Linked DNA regions of Sus scrofa. The protein of the gene in region 2 interacts with the protein of the main gene of each other region in a pairwise test. Links are inferred from orthologs where the notes say so. Each region holds a gene or a part of one and is shown on either strand. Other genes may lie near its edges.

Region 1 (8,332 bases), on a different chromosome or scaffold from region 2:
CACTCTCTCCCTCTCTGTTACTTAAGCCCTCCAATTCTGCAGGCAATTGCTTCTTCCCCCAAATAACAATAATTATCCTTTTATTATGGAGTAAAAAACATTTTCTCCTCTATATAGATCTAAGTTAATGATATCATCCCAAAATAATGGCCTAAAGATACTCAACTCAGGAAGGAAAACACTTTCCAGGTTGCAACATGTCAGCAGTTGGCAAGTTCAGAAAGGTTTTATGATTTATTGAAACACTTTCTATAAACCAAACTGCCATGGACCCTAGAGAGTCCTAAGTGTCCAGATGCTACTTATTCTCTATCAAAGATGGATGACAGAAACACAGCCTAAAGACTGACCCACCTGTGTTGATTTTTCTATTAAATGAGCCTATTTTTAAAATCCTGTTCTTCAATACAGGAATTACGTAATATTGATTGTTAACTATGATGTAAATATAAACAGCAGAGAAATGTTTTAAGGCCAGAGTAGTGTCATTACACAATCCATATACCTACCATAAGACGATTTTACCTAACACAGAATTTCTTCCAGTTCTAAGTTGAAGCGGCACTAAACATACAGGGAAACCACGTTCTTAATGGAGTAGCAGGAATTTACTCATATAACAACAGAAATTTTCTTCTATCGCATAATCCCTAAACTCTCAATGAAGTTTAGTAAAAACTAGTAAAATAGGTCTTCAGGCCCTCCAACTCCCAAATCTGGCTTTCTTCCCAGGTAGCTAGTCTTTCATCTCAGTTATTAAACATGACGGTGGCTTTAAGGTACACTGTCCCAAAAGTCTCAAGCAAGAAGCACAGCTGTAATCTCTCATTTAGATAGCATGTGCGCTGCACCTGTGACTGTCTAAACACTCAAGAAAGCAAGAAGTTCTGAGCATCTGCAAAGTAATAAAGCTCTGACTCAGAGACTCTTAAGGCTGTCAGGGGCCATTTCCCCACAATTCCAATGAGGGGACCCCTCAACAGAGATGACTAGAAGCATAAACAGATATGCCAAGCAGAATAACCTATGACAGCTGACAACCAGAGAAGTGACAGAAACAGGCCAAGAAAACAAAACCAAGGAAGCAAAACAACTTGAAACCCTTTAACACATGCAGGGCAAACAGTTTCCACACCAAAACTGCCCTCAGGAGTAACATATTAGAACACGGCATATCGAGTTCCCATCGTGGCTCAGTGGTTAACAAATCTGACGAGGAACCATGAGGTTGCGGGTTCGATCCCTGGCCTTGCTCAGTGGGTTAACGATCTGGTGTTGCCAAGAGCTGTGGTGTAGTTTGCAGACGCGGCTTGGATCCCATGTTGCTGTGGCTCTGGCGTAGGCCGGTGGCTACAGCTCCGATTCGACCCCTAGCCTGGGAAACTCCATATGCCAAGGGAGCGGCCCAAGAAAATGGCAAAAAGACAAAAAAAAAAAAAAAAAAAGAACACAGTATAATAACTGCCACATATGGTAGTTCAGTTCAGTTTACCAAACAGCTACCATTCCTGTGTGCATGCCTTCTGTTTAATATAAAGATGAATAAAGATGTACTACCTTCAAATTGATTAAAAAGAAAGTAAATGGTACTTTATAGGCTGTGTAATGAATGGATAATTTTTAAAATACAAGCTTTAGTATTAATAAAGGAGATAAGCTTCAGGAATTTGAACAATTAATGAAGGTAAAACACCCTCCTTAGAATAGATATGGGAGTTCCCATTGTGGCGCAGTGGAAACGAATCTGACTAGGAACCATGTGGTTGCAGGTTCGATCCCTGGCCTAGCTCAATGGGTCAAGGATCTGGAGTTGTCGTGAGCTGTGGTATAGGTCACAGGCGCGGCTCGGATCTGGCATTGCTGTGGCTCTGGCGTAGGCCAGCGGCTGCAACTCTGATTCAACCCCTAGCCTGGGAAGCTCCGTATGCCATGGGTGTGGCCCTAAAAAGAGACAAAGACAAAAAAAAAAAAAAAAAAGAGAGAGAGAATAGATACAGCAATTAAGCCTGGATTATTGTTCCACACAAACAGTGAGATATCTGCATTACTATATTGATGGATGGCACTCACGTACATTTATGGACCCTTACTAGAATGACTAGCTCATTGTAATAAAAGGAACAAATCATCTCCTAGGAGCTTACAGTTTATTCTTGTCCGGATTATCTACCAGTTTCTTACACAGAAAGTAATATATTTCCTCTCACACCCATTAGGATGGCCACTACCAAAGGCAGGAAATACCCAGGAAATTAACAAGTATTAGCAAATATGTAAAGAAATTGGAACCCTTCTGCACTGTTACTGTGAGCTTTTAAAATGATGCAATCATTATGGAAAACAGTATAACAGGTCCTCAAAATATTAAACATATAATTAGCATATGATCTAGCAATTCCACTTCCACATGGAAAGCAGGATCTCAAAGAGGTATCTGCACCCTTATGCACCAAAATGTGGAAGCCACCCAAGTGGCCACTGACACAGGAACAGATGAACAAAATGTAGTACATACACACAATGGAAATTATTCAGCCTTGAAGAAGGAGATTCTGTCAGATGCTACTACATGGATGAGTCTTAAGAACATTAATTATGTTACGTGAAATAAGCCAATCACGAAAGAATACTGTATGGTTCCACATATATAAGGTACCCAGAGTTGTCAAATCCAGAGACAGAAAGCAGGGTGGTGGTTGCCTGAGGCTAGAGGGGGACAATGAGAAGTTGGCGTTTAATGAGCAGAGTTTGAAAGATGCAAAGTTCTGGAGACTTGACAACAACAATGTGATATACTTAACAATACTGAACTGCACACTTAAAATTTACCAACTTAACCATCTTTATGTTTTTGTCACAAGAAAAAAAAGTAATGTGCCTTTCTATCTGGAGAAAATATCCAATATAGACAGCAGTATCAATTAAATAATCATGGTTCATTTCTCAAATAGGGACTGAAAAAAAAAAGTGTGACAAGATGACTGATTTGAAAGAGAACAAAGCCTACAGTGAACAAAAAATGACAATTACACACAGGTTTGAGGGACAGATCTTGCCATCTTCTAGTATTGGCAGTATATACTCAAAAGCAGCTAGAGAACATCCTAGACTATTTATAAAAGGTTTGCAAAGATGCACAACTTACCCTCCCACAGCTGAAGACTCTGTGGAGCAACCGAAGGCCAGATGACAAGATTGTTTGCTTCAAAGAGAGGGTTGGTGAACTTACTCAGTTCACTGGGTCTATTGACCCAGGACCACAGAGACATCGTTTTCTGCTGTAGCTTCAACTTACATCTGATCAAGAAGGAAAATTTCCATTAAAGCAATTATTTTATGACAACCACTTCTTTTTAAGATTTTTTTTATTAGAGTTGATACAACCACTATTAAATGCTCGAAAAGGACAATTTCTTCTCTCTGTTATGTTAGAAAGCAAAACACAAGACTTTTAGCAGCAGAACAAAGTGTTGTAAGATAAAAATATTTGTCAGAGAATCAATTGGCATTCTGTTGTTGTTTGCTGCACCCACAGCATATGGAAGTTCCCAGGCTAAGGATCAAATCCAAGCTGCAGCTACTACAACCTACACCACGGCTGTGGCAACACCAGATCCTTAACCCACTGTGCTAAGCCAGGAATCCAACCTGCATGGGCCACAGAGACAATGTGGAATCCTTAACCCACTGCACCACAGTGGGAACTCTTCAATCAGCATTTTTAACTATCAATAACAACAAAAACAAAGACTGTTTTGCAGGCTTCCAAAGCTGGCAACAATGAGTTAATCCATCAAGAAGATATAATAATTACATATATGTATATTGCACTTGAGCCACAAAATATATGAAGCAAAAACTGACATAGTAGAACAGAAAAATAGACACTTCTATAATACATTTGAGGACCTCACTATCCCAATAACATATAGAACAACTAGACAGAAGATAAACATGGAAATATAAGACTTGACCAAAATGTAAGGTAATTATAGAATACTCTACCCAGCAACAGCAGAAAACACATTCTTCTCAAGTGCACATGAAACAGTCTCCAGGCTAGAACACGCATTAGGCCGCAAAACAAATCTAACTCTATACTGTTATCAAAGAAAATATTCAGAGCAAATACCCTTGATGGCACAGAAAAAACAGCATAAACACATCCATTAAATTAGACTGATCACACTAAACACATATAGCTGCAGTAACTAGAACCAAAGCACAATGAGAAAAATATGGTGGATGGAGAACTTTCTAGAGCAAACAGTTCTAAATTTTCCCCTACTTCTGAAGAATCTATAAGAAAATCTAATGTTGAAAAATTTGCCAATTCAAATTTTACTTTACTTTTTTTTAAGTAAAAAGTATGTATTGCTGTAGACGCTTAATTTTTTTTTTTTTTTTTTGCTTTTTAAGGCCACACCCATGGCAAATGGAATTTCCCAGGCTAGGGGTCTAATCAGAACTCCAGCTGCCGGCTACACCACAGCCACAGCTACAGCGGATCCAAGTCATGTCTGCACCTACGACAGTCACAGTAACACTGGATCCTTAACCCACTGAGCAAAGCCAGGGATTGAATCCACAACCTCTTGGTTCCTAGTCAGATTCATTTCTGTTGCACCATGATGGAAACTCCTCTAGGTGCCAAATATTAAACTGGTAAAAATACAGTAATTCCAGCCTTTTGTGAAAGCTGTTATTTGTTTAAATTTATTATTCAACTAAATAATGCCAACCTAGCCACCAAGCCAAAGGACAAACCTTGCCTCCCATGCAAAGGAAGCCTTTTGATTGTACCCAAAAGAGAAAATTACCAGTTAAGCACCTTTAATGATCATTCTGATACAAATTTTCTAATTAACCCTATAAACTTGATGGTATTTGGGTTGAAAAGTGAAATTATCATTCTGGGCCTAAAGACAATTTCTCGGTATAACAAAATCTAGAGCAGGAACAGGAAAACTTGCACTACAGCCACACTTCTTCTTTTTTTTTTTTTTTGGTCTTCTCTAGGGCTGAGAAGGGATTTGTTAGATTCATTAACCACTGAGCCATGATGGTAACTCCCTACAACCCCACTTCTTCTTCTTCTTCTTCTTTTTTGTCTTTTTTGCCATTTCTTGGGCCACCCCCTCGGCATATGGAGGTTCCCGGGCTAGGGGTTGAATTGGAGCTGTAGCCACTGGCCTATGCAAGAGCCACAGCAACGCGGGATCCGAGCCATGTCTGCAACCTACACCACAGCTCACGGCAACGCCAGATGGTTAACCCACTGAGCAAGGCCAGGGATCGAACCCACAACCTCATGGTTCTTAGTCGGTTTCGTTAACCACTGCGCCACGACGGGAACTCCTACAGCCACACTTCTGATGATCACCTGGCTGTGTGATTCTCTGGCTATTACCTTCCTAATCTATAAAACTAGATGGAGGACAGAGTTGCACTGTATGTTAAAGCTTCCAGATGTAAGATACTATGCTCTTATATAAGGAAATTAACATTTAAAATGGTTGCCCAGGAGTTCCCGTCGTGGCGCAGTGGTTAACAACTCCGACTAGGAACAATGAGGTTGAGGGTTCGGTCCCTGCCCTTGCTCAGTGGGTTAACGATCCGGCGTTGCCGTGAGCTGTGGTGTAGGTTGCAGACGCGGCTCGGATCCTGCGTTTCTGTGGCTCTGGCGTAGGCTGGCGGCTACAGCTCCGATTCGACCCCTAGCCTGGGAACCTCCATATGCCGCAGGAGCGGCCCAAGAAATAGCAAAAAGACAAAAAAATAAATAAATAAATAAAATGGTTGCCCAATTCACAAAAAGCTTTTTAACCAGTGTATGGAGTAAATTTTTTTGTTTTTGGCCGTGCCCAAAGCACGTGGAAATTCCCAGTGATTGAACCATGCCACAGCAGCTACCAGAGCTACTGCAGTGACAATACCAGATCCTTAAACTTCTGTGCCACAGGAGCACTCCAGTAAGGAGTAATTTAATCTAATAGAACTAAATCTAGGATATGCGCTCACCTAGCATGTGATGGGCTCATAATAAAGAATACATTTCATGTAATTTAATTTATACTACTGTAACCTCTACTGTCTTATAAATAAGACCAATGTAGAACCAAATCCTGGTCTCCTTTAGGAAGTAACCAAAACTACTAAAAATAAAATGGCTCCCTGTGAGCCATGTACCCACCTTTCACTTTCATTGTTGCCCAGAAATGTTCCAAATTGTGAGGCGTAAGCATGCTCAAAGAGCATGATGAGGAAATTCTCATTAAATTCAAAAGAACAAGGGAACTGACGAAGTATCTGCCACACACAGTCCAAGAAGAGAAGAAATACAGGTGACTCCCACTTCTGCCTGCTGTTACAATAGGCTGACTGTGCACAGCGCTGCTGGAATGGGTGACCAGCCTAAGAGGAGAGATGGAAATGTGACAGTCATGTCCTGGTGGGATCACAGTATAGCACATTCTGTTAACACATTTCACACGGCTGCATCAAAACTATTATTAAATGGAACATCATATATTTTTGGTGGCTGCTCTTTAATGGATTTCGTAGTTTAAGACAATCTTCAGCACCTAAGGGAAAAGACATTAATTTCCAAATACCTTACTAGCCTATGCAGTTAGCCATGAGAACTGCAGTTGTTCTTGGTATATCAAATAGAAGGATAATGAACTTCAGCGATAATAAACATAAATCTTTCGAGGTCTATGAAATCTGGAGCAAAGTCAAAGAACATGAGCTCTTGCGGTATGAAACAAAGGACAGCTATCCTCTTCTGTCCAGCCAAAGCACTGCAGATCATTGTGAGCTGTGTAAGCCTCACCACTAAATGGAGATAAACAAGGGGTTCTCACAGACAAATTTAACAGGTCACTCCTGATATTGAACTTTTAATTACATGCAAAAAAAGTTATGTCATGGAGACATCTGTGTGAATACTTTTATATTACAGACCAAGCTGTCCTTAGTTTCCCTCTCCTTCTACAAGGACCTGGAAGAGGCTGCCATCTACTGACCAAAGGAAATTTAAGAACCATTAGGCTCTCTGGCCCATCTAGAACCCGAGTTTATCCCAAGAGTCACACCCTTCTGGGTTTTAAACAGGCCTGCTTTATCTTTGGGTCCTCATACCACTTTATCTGGTAAAGCTAATAGCATGAATGTGAATGGGATTTTGATACCCATGAAAATGGTAATATGTTAATAAGTAAATCATACTCATTTGTCTGCTGTGCATCACATGGAATGTAGCTGAATAAGATTTGCATGAAATATTTAGGACGGTCTGACTTAGACATAAAGGTTAGTTGTCAGAGTGGGTAGACTCAGTAAACATAACAGTATTAATACATAATAAACCCAAACTGTAACCAGAAGGGCCAGAAATGATTTTTCTCCAAAGGTACTTATACTTTCAAGATATATCTAAACATTATTTTCAATCGCAATATATATAGTAAGTTAACACAGTATATATACATCTATAAGTTAAACTCCAGCTTGGAAGATTTAAATCTATTTTATGACACCTTTATTTTAGCTGTTCTTCAGCATTAAATATGACAGCACTGTGTGGTATCCTAGGGATAAACAGCTGAATTCGGCAAGGCTCCCTGACTTCTCTGTCACTGTGTCTGGGTATAGTTCAGGAAACAAGGTGTGAGGAAAATGGGTCAATTTTATCCGTGAAGGAAGTCAGGGTCCCAAAGACTTCATGAAAGCAGCGACATTTAGCTGGATCTTAAAGGATGAGAAGGATTTCACATGGCTGGGGAAGACAACGGGATGGAGCCAGACAGGCAGAAGGTAGAAAATGCTAAAGCACATGCTGCCGCCGCATATTTACAAGTCCCCACTCCTCCTCCCCACCTCATTTATGACTTTTATCTCTAGCAAGACAAGACTATGTTACCTACAGGGGAAACACAAAGAATGTAAAAGTACAACTGATACGGGTTTCTTAGGGGAATGAAGCGCCAAGTGAACAATGTGAGCAAAGAGGGAGGCAAAAAGATTAGACATTAACTAAGAGGAAGATGAACTGTCCCCCCAGAAAATTAAACATACAATTTAAACATTTGAATCAATCAGAATTCCATATATTATGTCCTTTCCAACAAACCAGATCAAACATCAAGTGTGAGCAAGCCATTTTTCTCACCTGCAGCCACTCTCTTTCTATCAAGGCCTCAAAGCCACGGATGGTCCTGCTTCTTGGCTCCAAGATGATCTGGGCCAGGGACGTAACCTGAAGTGTGGAATCAGTTCCTTCTGTTCCATGAATCAATATGGATGCTCCTTCCCTGATAGGAAAACCCAG
Region 2 (8,218 bases):
CCTGTGCTCGAAGGAGCGTCGGGAAACGGAGCAGCTTGGCGCCGGCTGGACCTCGGGCGGGGCCTCGGCCACGTGCTGCGGCCCCCAGTCCCCGGCCCCCGGCCGACGCCGCGCTTGGCCCCGGCGGGATGCTGGCGGGATGCTGGCGGCGCGGCGTCCCGGTCCTCCGCCTGAGCGGAAGCCGCCCGACCCGGCCCAGAGCCACTCCTCCCGCAGGCGGTGTCCTCAGTCTTTGTGATCGAAATCGAATTCAATGAGCTATTAATTCTTGTACCTGTTGTCACATCTTGCGATAAATAGCAAGCTGCTGCCTGCCGGATACTGAAGATCTCCTCACAGCCCTGCTGTCCTGGGAAAGAGCAGACATGTCGAGCCTCTATTTATTCTTAAGAACCTGAGAGCCTTTTGCTCGCCAGCGCCAGTAGAACCACAGTCTCTTGACCTAACTGTTTCACCTGAGATTCTGGGGAGGCAGTGCCTCCCCTGTTATCAACACATTTTATTCTTTGCCTAACTTATTTGGGGATGACAAAATTATTGCATTTATCACATCAATGTCAATCCCCCCGCCTTTTTTAGTGTGTAACAGTACGTCAATGACACACCCTTATGTCTTTAACCTCAAAATTTAAGTGCAGGAAAAAATACTCAAATTTTAAATTGGCTTAACGTGATAAAGTGATGTTACTTCAGGCCTGGTAGGGTATATTTTAAACCAATACTGTCTAACAGATCTTATTGGTATAATCCCATATACATTTTTCTGAGTTTCATAAATAGCATTTAAGTATTATTTATCACGCCCTGATCTAAGTATCTGGAACTCTGTTCATCTTGACAACAGTCCTGAAGCAGGGATCTTTTCCTCGTTTTACAGTGAGGAAACTGAGGGACAGTAAGAAGCCCAGGCCATTTGGCCCCAGAGACTGTTTTAAAATGGATATTTAATTAAATACCCTTGGGCAGTTTGCAAATGATGGCCCTAATGAACTTGGGGTTTGTTAATAGAATAGCACATTTTCATTACTACCTTACATTTTATGAAAATAATAAAGTCAAACTTTGAAAAATGAGTTGTTCATGCTAAAAATAAAGGTTACATTATAACGTCACATCATTTTGCATTATGTCTGATACCCAGACGTTTGAGGCACTCTATCTACTGCTCTTATTTGGCTAATATTACAGCATTCCTAAGAGCATATAACAGTTTCAGAGCCCTAAACTATAATCCCAACTATGTGATGGTTATTGAGTAGATTTTGCAATATAGACTTATTATAGAATACAATTGTATGTTTTCTTATTTTACCCTTTTACTGTCATCCTTTTATACTTCAGGTTTGATACTACTGTATTTCTATTAAAATATCTCATAGTTTACACTTTTTAGATTTTTACTGTCTTCACTCTGGAAAGGGCTCCCCAAATTTTGTTCCAAAAAAAAAAGTTTAATAATTTTATCCTAATTTCTTTTTTTTTTTTTTTGTCTTTTTTTTGTTGTTGTTGTTGTTGTTGCTATTTCTTGGGCCGCTCCCGCGGCATATGGAGGTTCCCAGGCTAGGGGTTGAATTGGAGCTGTAGCCACCGGCCTACGCCAGAGCCACGGCAACGCAGGATCCAAGCGATGTCTGCGACCTACATCACAGCTCATGGCAACGCCGGATCGTTAACCCACTGAGCAAGGGCAGGGACCGAACCCGCAACCTCATGGTTCCTAGTCGGATTCGTTAACCACTGCGCCACGACGGGAACTCCTATCCTAATTTCTTAAGTAAAAAGATCAAGGCTCAATATTATCCACTAAGGCAGATGGGTGATAAAGAATAGAAATCTTATCCTAGGGCTCAAGAGACTTCCAATGGCTCAAATGGATTGTGTTTATTAACATACCTTCTCAGAACCAATACACTTCAGAAGCATAGACCTATCACCAGAAAAATGTGGTCACACATCACCTACATGCCCTAAGTGCAGTAAGTCATGATAGAACTTTCATCATTTGATGTTTCAAAATGTAGACACTACCATTCTCCAGTGTTGTTTTTCTTCATTTTTCTTTCTTTTTTTCTTGACTGCACTGGTGGCATGTGGAAGTTCCCAGGCCAGGGATCAAACCTGTGCCATAGCAGTGATCCAGCCACTGCAGTGACAGCACCAGATCCTTAACCTGCTGACCCACCTGGGAACACCTTTCCCGTGTTTTTTAATGAACAGAGTAATATTATCGGTCTTTTTCCAAAAGTATGGAATAAAAATTAGTTTTTTATTATAAAAATTAGAATGGAAGAACTAACGGTTGGACAGCAAGACCCTGGATTTAATTTCAACATCTGGTTTTCAACATTATAGGAAGGCAATAGTGGTTCTGTGCCATTTTTATTTCTTCAGATTTTTCCTCTCCTAGGATACTCTCATATTTGTTATTATTTGAAGCTCTGGTCATGGCTCTGAATCATTTTTGCTCTTTTTCCTCCCCTAACTCTGCTTCAAAACTTCTGTAACTCATTTGCTGTGAAGTCTAGAATCTCTTCTGCAAGGGAGCTTCCTGGGTGGGCCGGACTGCCATGGACCGGAAGGATTGCTAGGGAGTCTTTACATTGCTAAGAAGTCTTGCTAATTCGCTATATAAGCTGAGTGGACTGTCAGAGAATTTTCCTTTTCCCTGATGAATTTAAGAGGTTTGTATTTTGACCTGACTCAGTGATTCTGTTTGGGTCGATTACTTTGTTACTGTTTTTTTCTCCATATATGAACGTTGCACCTAATTTTCCCTGTAATCGGTTAAAAAAGCTCAGCTGTTGATGTTTCAACTCTTTCTGCCAATAACTGCTGGCAGTGATTTAATGCAGCTGGAGAATAAACTGACAATCATTATAGCCTGCAAAGTGTGGAATATTTTCATTGCACTGTTGTGGTGGACTGATAATGCTCGGCGGATGAGAATTGGGGGGGAAGCCTGTGTTACGATAAGAGAAGCAGCAGTGTAAAAGTGGGTGAGTTCTGGGGCAGCTTAGGGCCGCTTATCCAGTCAACGCTTCTCCGGGGCTTGTTTTCATAGGAGTTCACTTTAAGTGCTAAAGGGAAATGCTTTCATCTGAGCGGGATTTTTGTGCTTCGTTCAGATTGTTTCCCCATCTGATAACAACCCTCGCTGAGTAACAGCACAGATGTGGCTCATCTGCGGAAGATGGAGGCAGAGGAGAAAAGCGCTGGGCCGGGGCGCGGAGCGGCAGGTGGTCAGTGATGCTTGCACGCCCGCCCGCTGGGTCTTCTCTTCCCTCCTATCCCACCCAAGCCGCGGCGGGCTGCCCTCCGCAGGGCGATGCCCTCACCTTTCCCTCGGCGCCGGTGCCTGCCTGGCGACTTCTCCCCGTCGGTGGACTCGCGGCCCTGCAGCAGCCCCTGCGAGCTCCCGGGGCCGACAGGGAAGCTCTTCCTGGGGGGCACCCCACCCCGGGCCCTGCGCCTTCCTCGCCGGCTGGCCTGGTGCTCAATAGACTGGGAACAGGTGTGCCTGCTGCAGCGGCTGGGAGCCGGGGGCTTCGGCTCGGTATACAAGGCCACCTACCACGGCGTGCCTGTGGCCATCAAACAGGTGAGCAGATGCACCAAGAACCGGCTGGCATCCCAGCGCAGTTTCTGGGCCGAGCTCAACATCGCTCGGCTCCGCCACGCCAATATCGTGCGCGTGGTGGCCGCCAGCACGCGCACACCCGCGGCCTTTGACAGCCTGGGCAGCATCATCATGGAGTTCGGCGGCAACGTCACCTTACACCAGGTCATCTACGGCGCTACGGGCTGTCCAGAGGAGGATGGGCCTCCCTGCAGTGCTGGGGAGCAACTGAACTTGGAGAAGTGTCTCAAGTATTCCCTGGATGTGGTCAGTGGCCTGCTTTTCCTGCACTCCCAAGGCATTGTGCACTTGGACCTGAAGCCAGCGAACATTCTGATCAGTGAGCAGGACGTCTGCAAAATCAGCGACTTTGGTTGCTCCGAGAGGCTGGAAGATCTGCGCTTCCGGCCTCGGCACCACCTGGGCGGCACGTACACCCACCGAGCCCCCGAGCTCCTCAAAGGCGAGCCCGTCACCCCAAAAGCGGACATCTACTCCTTTGCCATCACCCTCTGGCAGATGACCACTAGGCAGGTGCCTTACTCAGGGGAGCGTCAGCACGTGCTCTACGCGGTGGTGGCCTACAATCTCCGTCCGTCCCTCTCGGCGGCGGTCTTCACCGAGTCCGTCCCTGGGAAGAAACTGGAGGACATCATCCAGTGCGGCTGGACGGCCCCTGCGCAGCAGCGGCCCAGCGCACAACTCCTCCTGCTGGACCTTCGCGCTCTACAAGCTGAACTGGGCTGACCCGAAACGTGTGGCCGGATAAGCATTTGTCTTTGTTGCTGTTCATTTTTAACAAGAGAAGATGTAGGCAAAAAAAAAAAAACAAAAACAAAAACAAAAAACATAGAGGTAGGATGGATTTTTAGAAAATAAAGTTACCAAAAACTCCTTTCACCCCAAATGCTTTTCCTAAGACAAACAGCAGAACTAGAAATCTAGTGGTGTCTCTCCTTCTCCCTTTACAGAGCTCTGTGTTTGCTTCAGAGCTACTGTGCTTCCTTGCAGTTCCATAGTACTGCACTTAACTCAAATTTGTTATTGGTCTGTTAACAGTTTACTTGCTCCCGTACAAATAAGCTAAAAAACAAAGATTAATTTTTCCCTCCTGCTCTTCCCCCAAAACTACTTGTTTCTAATGATCTTCACACATACAGTTCGCAAGTTGAGGTAAGCTTGTTTTTAAAAGGAATGATACTTTAAATGATTTCTTGTGATTGTGATATTTTAAAAACTTCTGCGTGCCATGAGTAGAAATTTTGCTAAAACTTCTAAACTGGGGCCCTTTTCCTGTTGTTTGGACTCAAAAGTAGACGACAAAACAAAGATGATGTGATGGGAGAAAATACGATAGCCCTGCAGCAGAGCAGAATTTAACATTTAGCTGGAGGAGAACAGAGAAGTGGAAGCAGATCGCCCAGTCTAGACATGGAGGGCATGGCTACGCATAGATTTTTGACAAATGAGGTGACTGGATCTTGTCATGAGGACAAAACTGACTTCTATTTAGCAACAGAGTTTCAGCAAGGGCTTGATGTAGAAGCTGTGCTTGGACTGTTAAGAAGGGAGAAGCAGAAAACTTTGAAGGGGGTTAAGATGCGCAGAAACGTTTTGAGATTTGTTGGTTTGGTTTAGCTTACTTTTAGGATAAAGGAAGTGAGTTTATCTGTGACAGAATAAAGAGGGGACAAAGAGAACTGATGAAGTTGATGAACTTGCGGAAGAAAAAAGTAACGCCTCTGCAAAGAGATTGTACGTAGCCTTGGAGAGAAAGAGCATCTCTTCTTGGATGTGAGCAAAGGAGGGCCAGAAAACGGCCAGCATAGATGAGATTTTAAGCGGAAGAGGGACTGGGAAAATTCACATCTGTGGGCTTCTCTTTGCTTCTCTTAAGAGTGATGGAGGGGAGTTCCTGTCGTGGCTCAGTGGTTAACGAACCCGACTAGTATCTGTAAGGACACAGGTTCAACCCCTGGCACCTCGATTAGTGGGTTAAGGGTCTGGCATTGCTGTGAGCTGTGATGTAGGTGGCAGATGAGGCTTGGATCCCACATTGCTGAGAATATGGTGTAGGCCAGCAGCTGTAGCTCTGATTAGACTGCTAGCCTGGCAACCTCCATATGCTGTGGTGCGGCCCTAAAGACAAAAATATTTAAAAATTTTAAAAGAGAGTAATGGAGGGAATTCCCAGTGTGGCTTGGTGGGTTAAGAACCCGACATAGTCTCTATGAGGATTCAGGTTTGATCCCTGACTTCACTCAGTGGGTTAAGGATCCATCATTGCTGCAAGCTATGGCACAGGGTACAGATGTAGCTCGTGTCCAGTGTTGCCATGGCTATGGCTCAGGCCAGCAGCTGCAGCTCTGATTTGACCCCTAGCCCAGGAACTGCCATATGCCTCAGGTGCAGCCCTAAAAAGAAAAGAAAAAAAAAAAAAGAGTGATGGAGGGTAGGGAGTCTACAGAATGAGATCATGGTTTATAACCATTCTTGAGGGAAGCAAAATGACCATGATCATGACCATGTAGAATATCGGTACAGTGCTGCCGGCTCTGTCCATGAGGCTGAGGGGACAAACCAGCCATAGACCAATAAGTTCCCCTGTTTATTGTAGCAACAGGGGTTCATGCTGGCAGGTTTAAAATACAGTGGATCAAAAAAAGTCACAGTACAAAGTTCCCATCATGACTCAGCGGTAATGATCCTGAATGGTACCCATGAGGACCTGAGTTCAATCCCTGGCCCCACTCAGTGTGTTAAGGATCCGGCATTAAGTTGCCGTGAGCTGCAGTGTAGGTCGCAGACAAGGCTCGGATCTCGTGTTGCTGTGGCTGTGGTGTAGGCTGGCAGCTACATCTTCAATTCGACCCCTAGCCTGGGAACTTCCATATGCTGCAGGTGCAGCCCTAAAAAAGACAAAAAAAAAAAAAAAAAAGTAACAGTGGGTTAGTTTGTTCTTCCAGGAGCATTAAAAGGAAATTCTAACTATGCTGAATACCTTATTCCAGACTGACAGCCACACAAGGATCCCTAATAAAAGCATTAAAGTTAGGAATTTGGGAGTTCTCATTGGGATGAAGCAGAATCAAATCCAACTAGTATCCAAAGGACGCAGGTTCGATTCCTAGCTTCACTCAGTGGGTCGGAGATCTGATGTTGCCATGAGCTATGGTGTAGGTTGCAGACTTGGCTTGGATCCTATGTTGCTGTGGCTGTGCTGCAGGCGGGCAGTAGCTCTGATACAACCCCTCGCCTGGGAACTTTCATACACCAAGGGTGAAGCCCCTATAAGCAAAAAAAAAAAAAAAAAGTCAGAATTTGGTTCCCTAAATGAGCATGGCACAGCTTAAACTCAAATATCTTCCCTTCCCTTCTCCTTAGAATCATAGAGAGTCACAGAACAAGGGGAAGGACTTGATAAACTCCATAGTCAAGGACACTAGGAGAAGGAAATGTACAGACTCCAGTGTCAGTAGTGATACCTAATGACTGGACAGAACTTATAAGGAAAGACTGCCGGGGGGGCACAGGGCCTGTCAGTGGCAGATTTCAGAAAGATTTGGCAAAGCCAAATAGATGCTCTAGAGGCCGGATGGTCACGGTGGGGTACAAGAGTTGAGGATGAAATCCTGAAAACAGGAGGAGCTCAAACGGAGCTGAGCTGCCAAGAGTTGGGAGAGAAAGAAGGGACAGAAGTGCTAAGGAGGGTCTAACCACAGCAGAGCTCAGGAAGAGGCAGCAGAATGAGAGGGGCACTGGTGTGAGGGCAGGAAACACAGGACAGGTGAGCCTGTTTGGAGGGAGAAAAAGGCGTGCCTGCCTGGAGAAACCCACTGAAAGGCCCTTTTTGAAGGAAACAAATATGGTATTTGTGGTCGCAGAGAAAGGGCGTCTTTGAAAGGTAGGAAGATAACCCTGATGGGAAGCAGAATAAATCCATGGATGTTCATTTGTAACTGCTTAGAGCCATAGGAAATTATCTAAAGTAGGCAAATCAAGTCAGAAGCAAAAGCATATTTAACAGTGCAAAGATAAGTATTAAAAATACCACTGACTTTGGGTTAGAGGAGGGGAAAAGGAGAGAGATGCAAACCAACCGTCACTGTTGTCACTGTCCATTCAAGTAAGCCTGCAGAGATGGTCTAAGATGGAAGACATTATATATGGGGAAACAGTAAAAATACAACAAACACGCTTCCTCAAAATTAGAAGTACCAAAACAAAAGGCAAAAGGACCAAACACAGGCTGAAAGACAACCATATAAACCATACATGCAACATAATACAAAATGTCAGAGTTAAGAGCAAACCTGTCATTTCATTAACTGTAAATGGTTTACCTTTCCTATTAAAAGAAAATCTCTGTGCTTTGAGATCAACTCCTCTTTACTCCAAAAGTAGGAGCCACAATTTTATCATAAGATAAAATGGAATTGAAACCAAAGAAGGAGAGTTAATAATTTTAAAGCATACAATTCACTAAAGAAGTAAGAGGAATAGCTGTGAACCAAATACTATATAACAATTTTCACAGATTAGAAAAAGCAAGCAGGGTAAGGGCAAATTAAAGCACTGTTTTTAGGAGACCAATTTACTTCT
Region 3 (8,332 bases), on a different chromosome or scaffold from region 2:
GCTACGCCATGATGGGAATTCCCCCTTTTTTCCCCCCTCATTTTTGGTTGCCCCACAGCAAATGGAATTCCTGGGCCAGGGATCAAATCTGAGCTGCAGTTTTGACCTAAGCTGCAGCTGTGGCAACGCCGGATCCTTAACCCACTGTGCCAGGCTGGGGATCCAACCTGAGTGCCAGTGATCCCAAGATACCGAAGATCCTGTTGCACCACAACAGGAACTCCTTTTTTTTTTTTTTTTTTTTCTTTTTCTTTCTTTCTTTTTAGGACTGCACCTTCAGCATATGGTAGTTCCTGGGCCAGGAGTTGAATCGGAGCTATAGCTACTGGCTTACACCACAGCCACAGCAATGCCAGATCCAGCCACATCTGTGACCTACACTAGAGCTTGTGACAACACTGGATCCTTAATCCACTGAGTCAGTCTCAGCTTCTTAACCTGCTGAGCCACAAGGAGAATTCCATTATGTTTTATCCCAAGAGATTGGATATAGTTCCCTGTGCTGTACAGCAGGACCTTATTGCTCATCCAAGTACATTATAGGTTTAAGAAAGCTGCCAGCTACCAAGTAGAGATGTTGAGTAGACAGTTGTATAACAGATGTGCAGCTGAGGAATGATGTCAGGACTGGAGATATAAATTAGGGAGCCTTTGGTATAGAGACAGTACTTAAAGCCATGGGCACTAGATGAAATCACTTAGGAAGTGAGCATTGAGATTAAATAATAGAATTGAGGACTGAGTTTTGGAGCTTACCCAAAAAAAATTTTTTTTTTCTTTTCTTCTTTTTGGCTGCACCCGCAGCATGTGGAAGTTCCTGGGCCAGGGGTCAAATTGACGCCACAGCAGTGACCTGAGCCATAGCAGTGACAGTGCTGGATCCTTAACCCGCTGAACCACAACAGGAACTCCTTTTCTTTCATTTTTTAAAGTTTTATTGAAGTACAGTTGATTTACAACATTGTTCTAATTTCTCCTGTACAGTACCCATTGAGTTATAGACATACACATATCCATTCTCTTCTGGGTCCTTTTCCCATATAGGCTATCATGGAATATCGAGTAGAGTTCCCTGTGCTATATAGCAGGTCCCTGCTGACCATCTATTCCATATACAGTAGTGTACATCTGCCAATCCCAAACCCCCAGTCCATCTATTACCATCATTTAAAAGGCAGTCAGGAGTTCCTGTGGGGCTCAGCAGGTTAAGAACCTGATATAGTATCCGTGAAGATATGGGTTCGATCCCTGGCCTTGCTCAGTGGGCTAAGGATCCAGCATTGCCGCAAGCTGCAGTGTAGGTCACAGATGGGCCGCATCAGGTGTTGCTGTGGATGTGGTGTAGGCCTGTAGCTACAGCTCTGATTCAACTTCTGCCCTGGGAATTTTCATGTGCTTCAGGTGTGGCCCTAAAAAAGAAAAAAAATAAAATAAAATACATAGCATTTTAAGATATTAAATAGTGGGAAAAAAAAAAAAAAAAAAAAGGCCAGTCAGAAGGGAAGCCACCAAACGACAATGAGAAAGCAGTCACGAGGTAGGAATTAGCCAAGACAGAAAAACATCTTGAAAGTAGGTGAAGAAAGTATTTTAGTAGGTCAAGAGAGTAATCTACTGGATCATTTGCTGCTGAAAGGTGAAATGTGGACTGAGAATTGACCATTGGGCTTGGACAAATGTAGTTTCAGTGGACATATGAAAGCAGCTGTCTAGTTAGGTCTAAGATTTTCAGCTAGGAAGTAGATTAATATAACCTAAAAACTCTTCTATGACAAACATCTAGAAAGGAGGGAGGAAATGGAATTTTTTTTTTTTTTCAAATGCATAGTCAAACTTAAAGTCTCAAGTGCCAGAGACCAAGTGAGAACTGAAAATCAGAGTGGTAAGCTGACACTGTGGCTGCCTAGGGAGAGGGTGGAAATGATCATCTTGGGAACCTGGGGACTTAAGTTTAAGCAGATATCTTGCACTTTTCTGAGCCAAGGTTTAGAATTGAGACTTGTTTATGAAGTTTGGACCTGGTCTACACCTTCATTGAACAGGTAGACTAGGGAAAAAAATCTGCACCCTGGCAGAGGGAAATAATAAGGGGTCCCATTTCTCTAAAAAGAAAGGTTTCAGGGCTACAAATAGATACGAGGGGTTTTTGAGGGCAGTGAAAACATTCTAAAATTGGATTCTGGTGATGGCTGTTTTGTTTGTTATTTGTTTTTTGGCCACCCCAGGGCATGTGCAGTTCTCAGGCCAGGGACCTATGTCGCAGCTGTGGCAACACCAAGTTCCTAGCCCACTCTTCTGGGCCAGGCAATCAAATTTGTGTCTTGGTAGAGATAGGACACAAGAGACAGAGACACCACTAATCCTGTTGTGCCACAGTGGGAATTCCTCTGGTGATAGTTGTATAACTCTATAAATTTACTAAAAACAGTTGATTTTTAGAATCAAACACTTAAAAGGATTTTTTTTTTTTTTTTAAAAGAGTGGCGCCCACGGCATGTGGAAGTTCCCAGGCTAGGGGTCAAATTAGAGCTCCAGCTGCTGGCCATAGCCACAGCCACAGCAATGTGGGATCCCAGTCATGTCTGAAACTTACACCATAGCTAATGGCAATGCCAGGTCAAAAGGACTGAATTTAATGGTATGGAAATTATATCTTAAAGCTTTAAAAAATTTTTTGATCTTGTGTGGCAATATCATTGGAGTACCATCCAGAATCAAATGTGAAATAGTCATGCTCCCTCAACCCAGGCCATAAAGGTCTCTCACAGGAAAAAATAGTGATTAGAGTAAATAAGAGGAGTTCCCACTGTAGCGCAACAGGAGCCCCAGGGCACCGAATCAATCTCCGCCCTGGCACAGTGGGTTAAGGATCCAGTGTTGCCTCAACTATGGCGTAGGTTGCAACTGCAGCTTGGAGCTCATCTCTGGCCTGGGAACTCCATATGCTGTGGGACGGCCACAAAAGGAGAAAAAAAAAAAAAGCTGCTTATATGTGGAATCTCAAAAAAGGATACAGGAGTTCCCGTCGTGGCTCAGTGGTTAACGAATCCAACTAGGAACCATGAGGTTGCAGGTTCGGTTCCTGGCCTTGCTCAGTGGGTTAAGGATCTGGCATTGCCGTGTGCTGTGGTGTAGGTCACAGACGCAGCTCTGATCCCGAATTGCTGTGTCTCTGCTGTAGGCCGGTAGCTACAGCTCCGATTAGACCCCTAGCATGGGAACCTCCACATGCTGCGGGAGCTGCCCAAGAAAATGGCAAAAAGACAAAAATAAATAAATAAATAAAATAAAAATTTAAAAAAAGGATACAAATGAACTTATTTGCAGGACAGAAACAGACTTACAGACTTTGAAAGACATATGGTTACCAAAGGAGACAGGCGTAGGGAAGAGATGGCTTGGGATTGGCATATACTCACTGAGGTATATGGGATGATTGGCTAATGGGGACCTGCTGTAGAGCACAGAGAACTCTACCCATTATTGTCTGATAATTTATGAGGGGAAAGAATATGAAAGAGAAGGAGTTCCCATTGTAGTGCAGGGGAAATGAATCTGACTAGGAACCATGAGTTTGAGGGTTTGATCCTGCCTCGCTCAGTGGGTTAAGGATCTGGTGTTGCTGTGAACTGCGGTGTAGGTTGAAGACGTGGCTTGGATCTGGCATTGCTGTGGCTGTGGCATAGGCCAGCAGCTGTAGCCCCCATTCGACCCTTAGCCTGGGAACATCCACATGCCATGCAGAGGCTGCAGTCCTAAAAAGCAAAAAAAAAAAAAAAAAAAAAGGAAAAAAAAGAATCTGAAAGAGCAAAAGTAAATAAATAAGAAACTTTTAGAGGAGAGCATATAGTAGACTAATACCTTATAAGCATTAAGGGAACATATCTATCAACATAGAGATATGTACCTAGCTAAGAGAGGGGGCAAATAAAGACATTTACAGGGAGTTCCCATAGTGGCTCAGCGGAAACAAATTTGACTACCATCCCTGAAGACGCAGGTTCTATCCCTGGCCTCTCTCAGTGGGTTAAGGATTCAGCATTGCCGTGAGCTATGGTGTAGGTCACAAACGCTGCTTAGATTTGGCCTTGCTGTGGCTGTAGTGTAGGCCAGCGGCTACAGCTCTGATTCAACCCCTAGCTTTCCATATGCTGTGGGTGAGGCCCTTAAAAGACCAAAAAAAAAAAAAAAAAGACATTTTCAGACTGAGTTTACCATGTATAGACCCTTGCTGAGAAAACTACTAAGGGATAGACTAAGAAAAACATGGAAATGAACCTAGAAAGATCTTTAGGAGTTCCCGCAGTGGTGCAGTGGGTTAAGAATCCAAAGGTAGCCGCTCAGGTTGCTGCAGAGGCTTGGGTTCTATCCCCAGCCTGGCGTAGTGGGTTAAAGGATCTGGTGTTGATGCAGTTGTGGGCACTGACACAGTTGTCATGTAGGTTGTGGCTGTGCCTCAGATTGAGTCTCTGGCTTGGGAACTTTTATGTGCCATGGGTGCAGCCATAAAGAAAAAGAAAATTTTAAAAAAGGGAGAAAGATCTTTGGAGAGAGAGAGGAATAGTAATTAAAGAAGTAGAGATAGAAACAGCATAGACTAATCCTTTTGTAAATGTTTGGCTAAAAGAAGAGCAAAAGCTTGAGGGAGCTGTGAGGTTATAGGGCAATTTTATTTGATCGGATTTTTTTTCCTTTTTTTTTTTCCACCCTTTTTCAGCTGCCCCCCACCCCCTTTGGCGTATGGAATTTCCGGGCCATGGATCAGATCTGAACTTCTGTTGTAACCTACGCCGCAGCTGGGGCAACGCCAGATCCTTAACCCACTCTTGGGAGTGATGGGGGCTGAACATGCATCCCAGGGCTCCAGAGATGCTGCCAGTCTCATTGCACACCACAAAGCATGGAGAACTCCCTGGTTGGCTTTTTAAACAACTTAATTTAGATGTAATTCATGTACCATGGGATTCATGCATTTAAAGTATACAAAGGCAGGATTGCTCTTGTGGTATAGCAGGTTAAGGATCTGATGTCACTGCAGCCACTTGAGTCACTTCAGCCGCTTGTGGTGCAGCTTTGATCCCTGGCCTGGAAACTTCCATATGCTGTGGTTATGGCCAAAACCAAAACCAAACAAAAAATGATGCTGTAAAACAATATAGCTTCCTATATGATGTGGAGCTTCTGCCAACTTTGAAGGATGTCCCAGCCTCTGCTTCCTTCTCTTCACAGGCTCCCTGGGTCTCAGCCATTCGGGTCGGCCCCATTGGCCCCTGTGGTCAGCCAGCCAGCTGTGCTTCAGCCCTATGGCCCTCCCCCGACAAGTGCACAGGTGACTGCTCAGCTGGCTGGAATGCAGATCAGTGGTGCTGTGGCCCCAGCCCCTCCCCCTTCAGGGCTGGGCTATGGTGAGTAGCTATGACCATAGGAATGTTACTGTCCCCTTGATTTTTTAGAAGCTGGGGGTATACCTGAATCCCTTTTATTTCTTGTGCTTTTGAGCCCCGGCAGATGGGACAGTCATCCCTGTCCCTCGTGTGGAAAGGAAAATGATTTACTGAACAAGGAGGCAGAATGACTGGGGTTCTGACTCTACTTCTTCTACTTCTCAGGCCCACCAACATCGCTGGCCTCAGCCTCAGGAAATTTCCCTAACTCTGGTCTGTATGGCTCCTATCCTCAGGGCCAGGCTCCACCCCTTGGCCAGGCCCAGGGCCATCCTGGGGCCCAGCCTCCCCAGCGATCTGTCCCACCACAGGCCTCCAGCTTCACACCCCCAACTTCAGGGGGTCCTCGGATGCCTTCGATGACTGGTCCACACCTGCCTGGTCAGAGTTTTGGGGGGCCCCCAGGGAGCCAGCCCAACCATGTGTCCTCACCTCCTCCTCAAGCTCTGCCCTCTGGCAGCCAAATGACTGGGCCCCCAGGACCACCACCTATGCACTCTTCCCAGCAGCCAGGCTATCAGCTGCAGCAAAATGGTAAGTTTTTCTCAAGGTCTGCCTAGGAGCCAAGGGCTTCAGCTATTCAGTTGTTTTTGTTGTTATTTTTATTTGCTTTTAGTATTGCTTGCTAAGTGGTGAACTAGATGGACAGCCTCACTTTCACTAGAATGAAGGGTTTATAAATTTTTTTCCCCATAGTTCAGATAGTGTGGTCTTTCTCTGAATGGCCATTACTGTACCTCACAATTCTACATTTAGAGGAGTCGAGTCATTTCCCTGAGGCCTTAAGAGATAGGGAAGGAATTTTCTGTTCATCAACCTTCTGCCCTTGTCTCTCAGGTTCCTTTGGACCATCCCGGGGCCCTCAGCCCAATTATGGAAGCCCCTACCCAGGAGCAGCCACTTTTGGCAGTCAACCGGGGCCTCCTCAACCACTGCCTCCTAAGCGCCTGGACCCTGATGCCATCCCAAGTCCTGTAAGTAGATACTTATGTGGTCCTGGAGAAGGAGCTTATGGCTGCCACATAAGTGAGTCAACCGAGATGAGATGTTTGCCTAGCATTTTCTGATTATTTTCCCTTTTAATTTATCATCTTGTAAGTGTAGAACCTGGATGTAATTTTTGTTTTTCGTCATGCCTGCACAGCAGTTCCTGGGCCAGGGATCAAATCCATGCCACAGCAGCGACCCAAGCCATAGCAGTGACAACAATGGATCCTTAACTGCTAGGCCACCAGGGGACTCCTAGACGGCTTTTTTTTTTTTTTTTTTTTTGGTCTTTTTTTGCCTTTTCTAGGGCCGCTCCCATGGCATATGGAGGTTCCCAGGCTAGGGGTCGAATCAGAGCTGTAGCCACTGGCCTATGCCAGAGCCACAGCAATGCCAGATCAGAGCCGCGTCTGTGACCTACACCACAGCTCACAGCAACACCAGATCCTTAACCCACTGAGCAAGGCTAGGGATCAAACTCGCAACGTCATGGTTCCTAGTCGGATTCGTTAACCATTGAACCACAGCGGGAATTCCTAGATGTCATTTTTGACTTTTTAACTGGAAGTCTCAGAAGTCCCTTTTTTTTTTTTTGTCTTTTTTAGGAAGAGGTATATGGAAGTTCCCAGGCTAGGGATCAGTTTGGAGTGGTAGCTGCCAACCTATACTACAGCCACAGCAACACAGGATCTGAGCCCCATCTGTGACCTACACTGAAGCTAACAGCAATGCTGGATCTTTAACCTGCTGAGCAAGGCCAGGGATTGAACCCGTGTGTTCTCATGTATCCTAGTTGGGTTCACTACTGCTGAACCACAATGGGAACTCCTCAAGAAGTCTTTTGGGAGCATTTTTACTATATAGTTGGGCAGGAAAGGAAGGAAAGCCGGGACTGATCAGCTGTGTCAGCAGATCTCTGGGCTGAGTGCTGAATTCTGTTGCTATCGGACATAGCATGGTAACCTCTGCTCTTCTGTAGAGTAGCGGCTGGGCCCAGGTCTTGTCCTCTTAGATCTAGTTGGAATAGCATTCTGCTTAATGGGTAGGAATTCTTTGGTCTTAGTTGTTAAGGAAGGCCTCTCTGGTTTCTCTGTGCCCCTGCTTGGGCAGTGTTTTAGAAGGAAGCCTCTACTACTTTTGTTTGCTAGGCTCCTGCTGTATGGATGGGGAAAAGTGATCTACAGTCTAGGGGCAGTGTGGGGAAGAGGCTTCTTCCAGAAAGAGGGTGAATCTCACCCCTAGAACCATCAGAATCCTCAAGCCTTCCTCATCATATCAGAATAGAGGCTGGGAGTATATTTCCAAGTGGAGGCCACCTTATAGTTCTGTCTGCAACATTTGCAATGTCGATTCTCTCACCATGCTTAGCCATTGTCATATTCCATTCTGTTCTCTTTCCTCTTCCTTTGGGGAGCTACCATGGTGAGGGATCCAGTTGGCTGAGGGGAACCCAAAAGAATTAAACAGCCTTTCCTTCCTTTTCCCTCCTTCATTGAGGAGGAGAGTCTGGTTGGATGTGAGGGGAGGTTTCTTTCAGCAGAAGAGGAGTCCTTAGATGGGAAACTTGGCCTTTTGAAGGGAACATCCCTCTTCTTTCTTCTTAAGATTTCTCCCATTCAGCCCCTCCTTATTTAATGCCTCTTGCCTCCTGTTTGCCCCCTTCCATAACTTTCTACATCATAGTCTGAGCCATGAAAGGCTCTTTTTTGGCCCAGAAAAACTTGGAATTTCTGATCTAGGGAGGCCTGATTCCATCAGTGTGAGCTGGGCTCCAGCTATTCATGTCTAACTCATATCAGAGTTGAGAGAAGTAACATCTGCTTCTTGTTCTTTTGTCTCCCCCCCTTGTATTCCCCTGCTGCCTTTATTATTAAATCACTAAAAGCAACTTAATGAGCTGC

What was found.
Region 1: the proteins of MOS (region 2) and MTMR9 interact in binary tests that used the Homo sapiens proteins (3 or more experiments, as listed by UniProt). The link is inferred for Sus scrofa from reciprocal best matches to the Homo sapiens genes MOS and MTMR9.
Region 3: the proteins of MOS (region 2) and SEC24C interact in binary tests that used the Homo sapiens proteins (3 or more experiments, as listed by UniProt). The two-hybrid records come from large-scale screens. The link is inferred for Sus scrofa from reciprocal best matches to the Homo sapiens genes MOS and SEC24C.

Annotation. Positions count from the first base shown.
Region 1 is NC_010456.5:14,490,473-14,498,804, reverse strand, and holds part of MTMR9 (myotubularin-related protein 9), read right to left. Parts: intron 8,316-8,332; coding exon 8,174-8,315; intron 6,415-8,173; coding exon 6,194-6,414; intron 3,298-6,193; coding exon 3,146-3,297; intron 1-3,145. UniProt on the Homo sapiens protein: Acts as an adapter for myotubularin-related phosphatases. Increases lipid phosphatase MTMR6 catalytic activity, specifically towards phosphatidylinositol 3,5-bisphosphate and MTMR6 binding affinity for phosphorylated phosphatidylinositols.
Region 2 is NC_010446.5:75,736,250-75,744,467, forward strand, and holds MOS (proto-oncogene serine/threonine-protein kinase mos), read left to right. Parts: upstream 1-3,152; 5' UTR 3,153-3,325; coding exon 3,326-4,363; 3' UTR 4,364-4,827; downstream 4,828-8,218.
Region 3 is NC_010456.5:76,481,214-76,489,545, forward strand, and holds part of SEC24C (protein transport protein Sec24C), read left to right. Parts: intron 1-5,229; coding exon 5,230-5,405; intron 5,406-5,609; coding exon 5,610-5,978; intron 5,979-6,281; coding exon 6,282-6,418; intron 6,419-8,316; coding exon 8,317-8,332. UniProt on the Homo sapiens protein: Component of the coat protein complex II (COPII) which promotes the formation of transport vesicles from the endoplasmic reticulum (ER).